2 linked regions of the Nothobranchius furzeri genome follow. The protein of the gene in region 1 purifies or fractionates together with the protein of each later gene. This does not show direct contact. Links are inferred from orthologs where the notes say so. Each region holds a gene or a part of one and is shown in the gene's direction. Other genes may lie near its edges.

What was found. Proteins that work in one complex are often made in the same cells at the same time.
Region 2: the proteins of rngtt (region 1) and supt5h purify together in Homo sapiens (affinity purification with mass spectrometry; 3 studies listed by BioGRID and IntAct, with this or other methods). This does not show direct contact. The link is inferred for Nothobranchius furzeri from reciprocal best matches to the Homo sapiens genes RNGTT and SUPT5H.

Annotation. Positions count from the first base shown.
Region 1 is NC_091742.1:9,448,156-9,454,753, forward strand, and holds part of rngtt (mRNA-capping enzyme), read left to right. Parts: intron 1-1,665; coding exon 1,666-1,918; intron 1,919-4,757; exon of another isoform or gene 4,758-4,882; intron 4,883-5,002; exon of another isoform or gene 5,003-5,096; intron 5,097-5,280; exon of another isoform or gene 5,281-5,370; intron 5,371-6,598.
Region 2 is NC_091753.1:56,978,775-56,985,372, forward strand, and holds part of supt5h (transcription elongation factor SPT5), read left to right. Parts: intron 1-1,019; coding exon 1,020-1,088; intron 1,089-1,924; coding exon 1,925-1,990; intron 1,991-2,082; coding exon 2,083-2,113; intron 2,114-2,180; coding exon 2,181-2,249; intron 2,250-2,347; coding exon 2,348-2,599; intron 2,600-2,673; coding exon 2,674-2,763; intron 2,764-2,841; coding exon 2,842-2,912; intron 2,913-2,992; coding exon 2,993-3,098; intron 3,099-3,183; coding exon 3,184-3,274; intron 3,275-3,489; coding exon 3,490-3,626; intron 3,627-3,827; coding exon 3,828-3,983; intron 3,984-4,058; coding exon 4,059-4,205; intron 4,206-4,275; coding exon 4,276-4,422; intron 4,423-4,605; coding exon 4,606-4,731; intron 4,732-4,905; coding exon 4,906-4,990; intron 4,991-6,598. UniProt on the Homo sapiens protein: Component of the DRB sensitivity-inducing factor complex (DSIF complex), which regulates mRNA processing and transcription elongation by RNA polymerase II.

The DNA of each region.
Region 1 (6,598 bases):
GTTTTTTAAGAACTGAAAGAGAAGTTGCTAATTTTAATTCTATTTTAGCCTCATTCCAAAATTTTACTCCCATTACAGAGATACATCTCCTTTTCATGCCATTTTTGGCTTTTTGTAGAACAAACATACATACACCTCTTAAATCATATTTACTTTCCCTCTTTACAAAAAAACATTAGTATATTTTCCGGCAGAGCCGTAGTAGTAGTTAGTAGTTTTCCTCTTTTCCAACGAGGACGTTAGCAGTAGCTGGGGCTAGCGTACGGCTGCGAGCGTTACTGTCACCAACATTTCTATATTGCAGACACTGAAGTGGGTTTGGGGCGTGCAGATTTAAGGGTGTGTATCTATGCTGACGACATGCTAATCCAGCTTTTCTCCGAACAAACAGTTTCTCAGCAGCCATTACACCATTGTCAGTTTGCGTAGTAAAGCTGGTCAGAGACTTTCTGGTGTGCTACTTTAGACACCTCAAGCTGCCTATGTTCAACAACAACAAGGTAAATGTAGTTTAGAGTTCTAGGACCCCTTTAAAGTCTTCACCATTCTGTAGAAATGATTCGTTTTCTGCATCTGGTCCCTGAAGTTTAAGCGTGTCATCTGCATGTAGAAGCATTTTCACAGAGAGCATGTGGTTTAAAGAGCTGTGTTCAGATGAAGCACTCCGTCCTCAGGCTGCAAAAACAAAATGATATCCGTTAGAGAAATAGCAGGGGCAAACCTGATGCACCAGATGTTTGGCTGCACAGAAGGTCGTGTTTGGAAGCCGCTGGCTAAAGGAAGAGAGAAGACGTTGACTGCTGACACGATGAGTCTGCTGTCGTCTGTCAGTCCAGCATGAACCAGTCAGATGAACCGACCAGATGGTGACTTCAGTTTGTGGTGAAGCCGTTCAGTCGGAGAGAACACATCTTTATTTATTTATTTTTTAGGAAAGCCTTCTGCTTTGTCATTTTTGCTTTTTGCCGTAAAATGATCTTCTGTAAGTATTATTGCCCTAACTATGTTGCAGTAATTCCCTAACGGCTTCCAGGATTAGCTTGTCCACAACAGCCGTGGCTCAGGCACATGGCAAACATGCTTTTATTTTCCGTAAGGAAAGCACATTTCATTTTCAAAAGGATATTATAGTTGAAATGTCGTCGATGCGGTGGAGATCGGTGCAACAGATGGGACACCGTCAGACCTAAACAGGTGATGAGGAGCATAGCTAATGCAGGATTATTTTACAGCACACTAGCAGACCGTTTCAAACAAAAGGTAAAGAATCTCGTCTGGTTTGATCCATTAAAATATTCACAAACGTACACTTTAATATGATTTTATGATTCAGCTGCATGTTAAAGCCCTTCTTGGCGGATGACTGAGATTGGAAATCTTATTTTACTCTCAAACAACTTCAAAATGATGAGCAGTCGTAAGAAAATACCTGACTCCCAATGAGTCAAATAAAAGAGTTAATTGTGAGGTGTTGACCGACAATGATCCAGAGCCTTCAGCAAAATATAAAAGCATAAAGGAAATGAAGAAATTTCTATATTTAATTTGGATTAGTTAATTTTTATTATTATTAGGCATGTCCCAGCTAAAACCACCAAACATATGATGTCAGTATTTCTTTTGTCTACAGTAAATGTTCCTCTCTGTTCTGCCTTTCCTTATCAGCGTGGAGGCAGCTGTAGCTGCTTTCGCCCAGGCACGGGCCCCTGGGATCTATAAGGGGGACTACCTCAAAGAGCTTTTCTGTCGCTATGGTGATGTGGAGGACACACCCCCTGCACCTGAACTGCCCGAGTGGTGCTTTGACGACGGCGACGAGGACGAAGGGGACGATGACGGTAACACGGTCGGTCAGGAGTCTGGCCCCAGCTCCTCGGGGTCGGCCCCTGGGAAAAGAAAGAAAGAGAAGCTAAAGCTGGTAGGAAGCAAAAACACAAATAAAAACTCTGTTACTGCATCCATCCATTGTCTGAACCTGCTTTGTCTACGTAGGGTCGCGCGGGGGGGGGGGGGGGGGGGGGGGGGGGGGTACACCCTGGATAGAGAGCCAGTCCACCGCAGCTCCTTTACTGCAGCTGTAATTTTCATTAAGTTAAAATCAGTCTAATTCATTACTCATGTTTAGTTTCAGTCCAGCCTGGAACATTTAAAGCCCAGCCAGTGAGATAACGAGCTGTTATCGACGGATGGAACGGAAGAAAGTAAATAACTTTCGCCGCTGTGACACATTTGTTTAAAACACATGGACAGAACTTGCATTTGTCACTTTTATTGCACACAGAGCTTATTGAAGAGCTGAATCAAGGCAAATCTAATAGCCGAGAATGCGATGCACCAGACGGATCAGAAGGAGAGCGCCGTCGTCGCTGCAGCAGCTCTTCAGTCTGCAGCTTTCATTAAGAACTACTGTCTGTTGGCTGAGAAGCTCGTCTCGACTAGTCTGAGGCGGTTTGGCTGTGCTGTGGAGTTATAGCCACTGGGATGCTGCTTTAATGGCGTGTGCGATTGTTTTTGTGGTCATCTAAAGCTCCCTCTGCAGCAGCTCTGTGGGACCGTGGAGGTCAGGTCTTCAGAGCATGGTCACAGTTTGTTTGAAAGCTTTTCTCGCTCAGAGATTTTTAATCTGAGATTAGATCCCGGTCTCAGTCTGTTGCACTCTGTTCTAACAAAGCATTTAAGAGGAAGCCAGAATATACTGCTGATGGTAAATTACATAAGGAAGTCACGTAAGGCTAAGCAATTCATAATTATTATAATATTATGAACAGTTCACAGTAGGATGATGCAGCAAGGTTTTAATTCTGTTAAACAAACTGGAGATTTTTAATTATCCAAAATAATTATCGATTATTTATTATCAAAACAAGACCATTTTAAGTTACTGTTGGGATTTTCTCTTTAAATTAACCTAGTTTATTGAAAAAAGGACCAAATCTTTACTCATGGATATTTGAACGATTCCGATTCCAGTTCCTTGTTTCGATTCCGGTTACTATCCGTTCACGATTACGGTTCTTTCAAGAGGCAGGATCCAAAAACATTTCATGTATTAAATGAGCGAGCTAACCACACATCTTATTGATGAAATAATCTGAACTTCAACATGAATTTTAACTCTATGAACAATAACATCACCTTCGTTTAGACAAAAGCCAGCAAGAAAGAAGGAAATGGTCAATTTGTATTTGTATACCGCCTTCTTGGGGCTCAACAACCCCCCAAAGTGCTTCACAACACAATCAGTCATTCATCCATTCACACGCTGGTGGTGGTGATTAGCTACAGTGTAGCCACAGCTGCGCTGGGGCGCACTGACCAAGGCGAGACCTTCGAACACTGGCACCACTGGCCCCTCTGACCACCACCAGCAGGCGAGGAGGGTTAAGTGTCTAGCCCAAGGACACAACAGCAGCATTATTTGGTCGGAGCCGGGATTGAACCAGCAACTTTCCGATTGCTGGACAACCCGCTCCCCCTCCGGAGCTTCTGCTGATCAGTGTTTTTGTTTCTGACCACAACCAAAGTATGGGAACTGAAGAAACCTCTAGGATGAGAGGCAAAATGCTGATAAAAGGTAAATAGTATTAAAGTAGAATTATTTTGAGTTAATTTGATATATTTTCAGTCAGTTTTACTCGGCTCCACAAAAACAATCAGTTTTATTTTTGTTAAAAAGTCGTTGTGTCTGGCAAACCTCCAGAGTCCGGTTACTGGTCAGACGCCCGAACCATCTCTGATTACTCCATTTGATCAGGAGGAGCAGCGGCTCTAACATTCCTCAGCTTCTCACTGAAGGCCAAACATGGCCGCCCTATTGAGGAAGCTGATTCCAGCTGCTTACGGTATCTCCTGCATTAGCTTCTGACAGAAAATAGCTGGTAAAACCTTAGGATTTAAAAACACTGACAGATCCAATCTTGGCTTGCGACGGCGAAGGCTGTTGTTTTAGCATCCAGGAATCAACAACGGCTGTGTCTCAATTCAGGGTCTGCATCCTTCGAAGGACCCAGCCCACTCGGCCGACGTGGGCTGGGTCCTCCGTCGGCCGGGTAGACCGGATGTTAACGGCTGTGAATTTGGACAGGCCTAGCCTTCATGAACTCCCTCCGCGAACGTTCCGTCGCCTAGCAACCGTGGAACCGCTGGGCAGAAGGGAGAAGGAACTTTAAACGATGGAGCTCGACGTTTTATTTAGCTTTTTAACCCCCAGAAACCCAAATTTAGAAAACAACTGCAAAATCTTTTTTTAACCTTTCACATGTTGTTCTAGGAGGCCAGATAAACGGGCCTATTTACACATTTTAACAGCCAATAGTGTTGCAGAACTGAACAATAGGACCTATTAGCAATGTAAATGTAGTTTTAAAAAAGAAAAAAAATGGGGAAGGTTTATTCTTGTAGACTTAAATCTGATGTTGTAATATTACAACCGTGGGTCTCTGGGGGTTAATCATTTCCTTGACTGTTGGAGAGCTAATTCAGAGAAAATACTTTAGACAAGCTGAGCCTGAGCAAAGATGTGATAATAGTTTTTAATACTTTCTAAGGGTCTTAATTTGACCAAAACCAATTTATCACCTTTTAAGACTTTAAGACCCAGCGGATACCCGGTAATATTGAACAATTCTCATTTGTAAACAAAAATAAAATTCAAGAGTTTAATGCAGAACTGATTTTATTTAGATATTTCTTTTATATGTACATGTTTAATCTTTATTAACCATTTTTTTCTAGCAAAGTAAAAAGTTGTCAAAGTTCTCCCTTCTCTCCTGTGCCCTCTGCTGCTCTGCCTCCATCTGCAGCCTCATGTCCTCCCTGATCAGCTCCAGAAGCTGGTCATCGCTGGCACCTTCCCCTGGATGCCCATTTTCTCCAGAATAGTCTTAACAAACATGTAAGAAAAGAAACAGGAAGAGAAAAGAGGACAACGGGTTATTCCTTTCTTGTTTTCGCAGAAAAAATAAACTCAAACGAGTTTTTAAAATATGAGATGTTATTGTACCTCCATGCCACAGCCGCCGAATACTTTGCTCCGGTGATCATGTGGTCCATCTCCGCCCTAAGCTTAATAAATTCCCTGGTTTTCTCTTTTGTTCCTAAAATACAAACTTCTATTAAAATCAGGGGGAAAACGTAGCGGGAGAAGTACGACACCGAGCGCGGCCGAACATATGAGCCGAGACCGCAATACAAGCACTTTTACTGTAACATTTCTAACTAAAATAACGTTCATGTATCACAAAAAGTCCTTAACCTAACAGTTTTCAAGTTTATACTGACATTTATATGCGCAATCCTCTCCGACAGCTCCCGCTTCACTGTCCGCCATTGTTTTTAAGTTTTTCTGCCGGCCGGCCCGCAAGGCATCTTGGGAAATGCTACCTGTTGAAGGATACACCGGACCCATCCTTCATTCAGGCGAAAAGAAGGCCGCATTCGTCGACCGCATTTGAAGGAGTCTTCGAATTGGGACAGGCCGAGTCGCGGCGCTGTGACGTAACCGGCCGACGAATCCGGCCGATTTAGGATGCAGACCCTGAATTGAGACACAGCCTTAGAATATCAGTCTCGGCTAGTAGAAGCTAACCATTAGCATCAGTAACTCCACCACACTGCAGAACTCCTCCAGGCAGAGAAAGCATCTAGGAAATAAGACTCCAAATCCTGCCGTCTGAAGCTGATGCAGCTCACATCTCGTTCCTGAAACTGGTGCACCGGAGTCCCCCCCCCCCCAAGAGTACAACTACAAGGCGTTCATTCCTACTAGAGACCACTGCAAATGTACTGAATAAATGAGCGCACCACAACTTTAAGCTCTGTATATTGACATGTGGCCTGTATCGTTCCAGGCACATCACTCTATGTAACTGGTCAAAATAATTGAGCCAAAGCTTTATTTAGCCAAAGGAGACTAGACGTTCACACCATATCATCCACTCCGAGTCTCACATTAGATTTTAATACTGTGTTAGGTTGTAATGCATGTAGCAGCTCTAAAATCCTGCAAACAGCCTGTATGCAAATTAGGCGGACCTCATTAAAAAGTATACTGGTCTAAGTGGGCCCTGTCTGAGATTAATGAGGTTAAACGGTAGCCTTGCTAATTAATGTGCATCATATTTTGGTTGTTTTCAGACCAGGGTGATCAGAAGTGCTGTTAACGTTCTAACTCGACTACTTGTACTCAAAACGTGCACTAATGAGTGACATGTTAACCTCCCTCTTCTTTGTCTGTTCGAACCAAAATTGACAGTCCCGTAGGGAGCAGTTGACGTCTCATCTGTTCAGCACAGAAGTGACAAGGTCATGTCACGAAAGGAATAAGTGAGATGAGAACGTGTCACTGAATTCAGAGCTCAGGGCTAAAGAGACGTTTGCTGTTGAGTTAATGCAGAGTAACGGGCTTCATAAGGCAGATCCTTTAAATAATTAATGTGTGAATTTCTTTAAAGTAGGCTGTTTAAAAGAAAGACATAACTTTTCATGTTTTAACCTGTTGTCTCGGCACACGGGGATTCATGAAGCAAAGAAACAACTGTTTGGATCGCTGTGTGTAGGAGGATCGTAACACTTCTTTGAACCTGATTGAAACCCAACC
Region 2 (6,598 bases), on another chromosome or scaffold:
CTCCTCCTTTGGCCATTATTTCAGCTTTAGCTTCAAGAAAGTTTTGGTTGTAAACAACAAAGTGCGCATGTGCCGCCGGCAACTTCAGCAGATGATACGGTGGCTGGTAAGGGTCACCGCGCCTACACCGCAGCCACGCTAATCCACCGAGATAATATAGATTTAAAAAACAAGACGGTTATTATTATTGTCAAGTTTTTTACCGGGGTTTACCGCTACACCGGTTACCGTGACAACCCTAGCTCACACCATTGTGCTGTCATTACTCCGCACACATGGTCCCAGCAGGCTGCAGAGGAGGAGCTAAAGGTGAAGCGGCACTGAAAGGCAGAAGTAGATCACGCAGTTTTCACAGAAATGGTCCGATGATGACGGGAATGTCGCTGGTTTGAGGCGTGAAACCTGAAGTTTAGGATATTAATGTAAATCGTTCATGTTAACCTCCAAGTTGAAGGTGTTTTCCATCTGTCTTGTCCGTTCTCTAGTTAGTTCTGGCAAGAATTTAATATTTTTGTAATGTTCTGACTGTAAATAAAGGTTTGTCAAAAAAAAACTAAATAAAAAAAACCTGAAGTTTAACCTAAAAGTCCCAGAATTTCTCAGCAGCTCTTGAGCGTTTGGACCAGAGGCAACTGAGGTATCCTCTGCTAGCGATGGTTTTACCGGTTACCGTGGCAACGCGTCCCTCTGTTAGTCCTGCTGTAATAAAATGGAGTCCTATAGAAGCTTTAGTTGGTGGATCAGACAGGAGGAGCTGCTGTGGGAGTTATGAGCCTCCAGAGAAACCAGATCTGTTCAGCGTCCTCCTGGTGAGAGGGAACCGGTCCGTTAGTTTCACCCCAGCATGTTCTGATTGTGTGTGTGTGTGTGTGTGTGTGTGTGTGTGTGTGTGTGTGTGTGTGTGTGTGTGTGTGTGTGTGTGTGTGTGTGTGTGTGTGTGTGTGTGTGTGTGTGTGTGTGTGTGTGTGTGTGTGTGTGTGTGTGTGTGTGTGTGTGTGTGTGTGTGTGTTGGCTCCCAGAGACTCCAGAGAAGAGGCGCTGGGTGAATACTACATGAGGAAATACGCCAAACCTCCAGCGGGAGAACAGTGAGTCGAACACCCGTTTCTGTTTTGTCCTCTGACTGAAGTCGGACCGGCTTATCGAAGCTTCTTCAGCTGAAATCTTCCATCTTGATGCTGACATCACTTCATGAAAGATGAAAGCTCAGCAGTTCTGGGTTATTTTATTATTTTGGAGTTGTCTAAAATCACGATATATTGAGGATTTCACCTCGATAACGATGAGTGGACGATAACCACAGATATGCGCAGAAACAAAAGCTGTCCACTAGATGGGGCTGTCACGTGTGTTTTGGTACGGCTTCTTAAAGAGCAAGTCACCCCCAAATCAACTTTTTTTTTTGCTGATAAACTATAAACGAGTGTCTAATCGTGCAGTAGACACGTGTATTCAATAATTTGGCACTTCAGTGCGTCTTAGTTCAAATTTAAATATTCTCCCTAAAACTGTCAGTGTTGTGCCGTCGTCAGGGAAAAGTTCTGCACTGTATTTGAATTTGGATCTGCTACGCTATTGGCTAAGAGGTACACTATGATGTCAGCTGATACATTATGATGTCACAATGTCGTTGTCTGCCTGTGAGTGTGTATTTGTTAGCGGCTTCGCCCTCTCGGTCTACCAGGCAACAGCATTTGTTGCATTTTTCAAACAGGAAGTGGGAGTGGAGTAAGTTTCTTGTAGGGGGTGACTTGCTCTTTAAAGAGACACGAGTGTTTCCGAGCTAAACGCATCTTTTCAGTTTCAAATTCATCTACATGGAAAAAATGATCTCGATCAGAGTCAGAAATTTCCATAAGGATACATTTCCATTCATTGTCCAGCCTTACTTTGGACTTTTTATTTCTTCTTCTGTGGTCTATAGTTACTCCGGAGGCTCTGGGGAGCTCTCTGATGACATCACACAGCAGCAACTACTTCCTGGTGTCAAGTATGTATACAGTTCCCCGCCAATTAGCATCCAGACATCTGCTGATGTCACAGGGAGGTCATTTAATCTGTTTTCTGTCACCCTTTCACCAGGGACCCTAATCTGTGGACGGTCAAGTGTAAGGTGTGTAACAGCACACACCCACGCTCACTCGCACACACACACACTTAACCATGACCTGTGTGTACAGATTGGAGAGGAGAGGGCGACGGCCATCGCTCTGATGAGGAAGTTCATCGCCTACCAGTTCACCGACACGGTAAGCGTTCAGTCTCTGGAGGGTGGGTGTGTTGGAGCTGTGATGTCACACGCTCTTAGCACCTGCAGGTGCTTACCTGTTCCGGTTTCCACCCACAGCCTCTCCAAATCAAGTCGGTGGTGGCGCCCGACCACGTGAAAGGCTACATCTACGTGGAGTCGTACAAGCAGACGCACGTGAAAGCCGCCATCGAGGGCATCGGGAACCTGAGGATGGGCTTCTGGAACCAGCAGATGGTTCCCATCAAGGAGATGACGGATGTGCTGAAGGTGGTGAAAGAAGTCACCAACCTGAAGCCCAAGTCCTGGGTCCGACTCAAGAGAGGCCTGTACAAGGACGACATCGCTCAGGTAGCGACCCGTGACACGGCCCGGGGAGGCTCTAGCTGAACTTTGGCCTCAGTAGCTGGCGTTTGTTTACCCAGGTGGACTACGTGGAGCCGAGTCAGAACACCATCTCCCTGAAGATGATTCCTCGGATAGATCTGGACCGGATCAAGGCCAAAATGACTCTGGTAGGAGGAGGATTCCAGGATGGTTCATCTGCAGGAACAGGAACTAGCCACTGACCTTCTGTTGCTTTGTGCTCGCAGAAAGATTGGTTTGCTAAGAGGAAGAAGTTCAAGAGACCTTCTCAGAGGTTATTTGACGCAGAGAAGATCAGGTAGAGGCTGAGACGTTTCTGCTGGTGGAGCTTTGAGCTGGTGGGTGTGAGAGTCTGAAGGTTGTGGTGATGTGTGTTAGGTCTCTGGGCGGGGAGGTCAGCCATGACGGAGACTTCATGATCTTTGAGGGGAACCGTTACAGTCGCAAAGGGTTCCTGTTCAAGAGCTTCGCCATGTCTGCTGTGGTGAGAAAACGCACCTTAGGTCTAGAACCAGGCCCAGGTTTAGGGTTCTGGTTCTCAGCAGCTGGTTCTGGTTGGTTCCTGACAGATCACAGACGGTGTGAAGCCCACGCTGTCTGAGCTGGAGAAGTTCGAGGATCAGCCAGAAGGAATCGATCTGGAGGTGGTGACGGAGTCAGGTAGGCTGTTCCTCTCTGACCCAAACCAGGACCCGGCACCGTCTGGGTTCAGATGAGACCTCTTAGGCTGTTTAACCAATCAGATCATTGCATGATGAAATCACCGTCACGTGGTTCACGCTAGAGCGCGTTTCCCCAAGTTCATGTTCTAGCTATTAATTCTGCAAAATGTCGTGTGCGTGTGTGTGTGTGTGTGCGTGTGTGTGTGTGCGCAGGTAAGGAGCGCGAACACAATCTGCAGGCCGGTGACAACGTGGAAGTGTGTGAGGGGGAGTTAATCAACCTGCAGGGAAAAATCCTGAGTGTCGACGGCAACAAGATCACCATCATGCCCAAACACGAAGACCTGAAGGTACACACACACACACACACACACACACACACACACACACACACACACACACACACACACACACACCCCCACACACACACACCATCAGCTGGTGGAAAAGCTGCTGAACCTTTACATCACGTACACAGTTCTCTGGAATGTGTGTGTGTGTGTGTGTGTGTGTGTGTGTGTGTGTGTGTGTGTGTGTGTTCTCTCTTGCAGGACCCTCTGGAGTTCCCAGCGAGCGAGCTGAGGAAGTATTTCCGGATGGGCGACCACGTGAAGGTGATCGCTGGACGATACGAGGGCGACACGGGTCTGATCGTCAGGGTGGAGGAGAACTTCGTCATCCTTTTTTCGGACCTCACCATGCACGAGGTAGAACCTCTCGTCCAGACCCGTCGCCGTACGTCATGCTTGTCCTAATGTCTCCCGTGCCTCTGCCCTGTCCAGCTGAAGGTTCTACCCAGAGACTTGCAGCTCTGCTCCGAGACGGCGTCCGGTGTGGACGTGGGGGGGCAGCACGAGTGGGGGGAGCTGGTCCAGCTGGATCCACAGACGGTTGGGGTCATAGTCCGACTGGAGCGAGAGACATTCCAGGTATTAGCCCAGCCCTGAGCTGACTGGAACACCGGCGGCTGCGTGGATCTAAGGTCTTCTTGTGTCGCAGGTTCTGAACATGCACGGGAAGGTTCTGACAGTTCGCCACCAGGCGGTCAACCGCAGGAAGGACAACCGGTTCGCTGTGGCGCTGGACTCCGAGCAGAACAACATCCACGTCAAAGACATCGTCAAAGTCATCGACGGGCCGCACTCGGTGAGAATGAGCTGGGTTTGTCTGCTGCGTTAGATGAAGTTTGTCCTCGAGGAACAACAAACCTGATGTCCTTCAGCACCCTGAGGCTCCGCCCACCTCCATGTGGTCCTGATCTGCTTGAGTCCAAACCTCAGATCGGTCCACCGGTTTTTCCGCTGACGTGCGGATGTTTGTCGTCCTCAGGGCCGTGAAGGTGAGATCCGCCACCTGTTCAGAGGCTTCGCCTTCCTTCATTGCAAGAAGCTGGTGGAGAACGGCGGCATGTTCGTGTGCAAGACCCGACACCTGGTTCTGGCCGGCGGCTCCAAGGTGACTTCTGGGTCTGGAGACACGACCATGACTATGCATCTGATTATGTATTTAGTAACAAAACTAATCCGATGTTTCGCGGTTATTCATCTGTTTTCTCAGAACCCGGGTCCGTATGGTCTCTGGGTCTGGTTCTGGTCCACTTTACTGAAACCATTTCATGTCTGTTTTCAGCCGAGAGATGTGACCAACTTCACGGTGGGAGGATTTGCTCCAATGAGCCCCCGCATCAGCAGCCCCATGCACCACGGCGGAGGGGGTGGGTGTGTGGAACCAGAACAGAACCAGAACCATGTATACTGCTGGGAAAGCCCAGCTGACTGAGTTTTCCTTAAATGGAGAATTAAAAAAATATCTTTGGATCCTCGTGAGACTTCTGGGTCCAAACGGACCAGAACTTTTGGCTCTGGAACCGGGAGTTATATTTAAACGTTGGAGCGGGTCCGGCTATTTCCTGGGTCGTGTTTGAAACCTTTCAGCCAGGAATTTAAAGTTCCTGTTTACAGAAGAGCTCCTAATGAGGTTCTAGGTAGGAGTTCATGTTGGATGTTTGTAGAACCCGGAGTGCTTCCGTCCTTCACCGGTCCTGTGTGGGACGTCTCAGAGCAGATGGGACGTGTGGTCGTGTCTTCATGTTTATGTTTATGTATTTAGCAGACGCTTTTGTCCAAAGCGACTTACAAGTGATAATCGGCATGTTGCCCTTGAGGCTAACAACAACAATAACAACAACAACAACTTGACATCAGTCATGGAGAGTAGGGAACAAGGAGTGGACAGTAGAGAGGGGGACGGGTGCAGGGAGGGTGCTAGTTTAGAAGATGCTCTCTGAAGAGCAGGGTCTTCAGGAGTTTCTTGAAAATTGAAAAGGAAGCCCCTGTTCTGGTAGTGCTTGGAAGGTCATTCCACATTTGTGGAACGATGCATGAGAAGAGTCTGGATTGTCCTGAGCGTGGTGTAGGCACTGCTAGCCGACGATCCTGTGATGACCGGAGCGGCCGGGCCGAGACGTAAGCCTTTGCAAGAGGATTCAGGTAGATGGGAGCCGTACCATCTCGGACTTTGTATGCTAGTGTTAGCTATTTGAATTTGATGCGTGCTGCTAGCGGTAGCCAGTGGAGCTCAATGAACAGAGGGGTGACGTGTGCTCTTTTTGGCTGATTGAAGACCAGACGCGCCGCTGCGTTCTGGACCATTTGAAGAGGTCTCACAGTACAGGCTGGAAGACCAGTTAGAAGGGCGTTGCAGTAATTGAGGCGGGAGATGACGGTAGATTGCACCAGGAGCTGGGTGGCATGTTGTGTTAGGTATGGTCTGATCTTTCATATGTTCTACAGCACAAAGCGTCATGAACGAGCAACAGAGGCAACGTGATCTTTAAAGGTCAGGTGTTCATCAATCACAACACCCAAACTGCCTTTGAAGGAGCCAGAGATAGGAAGTCATTTTGGATTGAGATATTGTGCTGTATGGATGGTTTTGCTGGGATGACGAGTAGTTCAGTTTTAGAGAGGTTGAGTTGGAGATGGTGGGATTTCATCCATTTTGATGTGTCAGAGAGACAGTTTGATATTCGTGCAGAGACAGTGTGGTCGTCCGGTGGAAATGACAGATAGAGCTGGGTGTCGTCTGCATAGCAGTGGTAGGAGAAGCCTTGTGATCGAATGATCTCACCCAGTGAGGCGGTGTATATGACAAAGAGAAGGTCCTAGTACAGAGCCCTGGGGGACTCCTGTGGCAAGATGGTGCATGGTAGAGGATTGTCCAAGCCAAGATACACTGAATGATCGTCCTGTGAGGTACGATTCAAACCAGGCGTGTGCTTTCTCTGTGATGCCCATGCTAGAGTGTGTGGACAAAAGGAAGC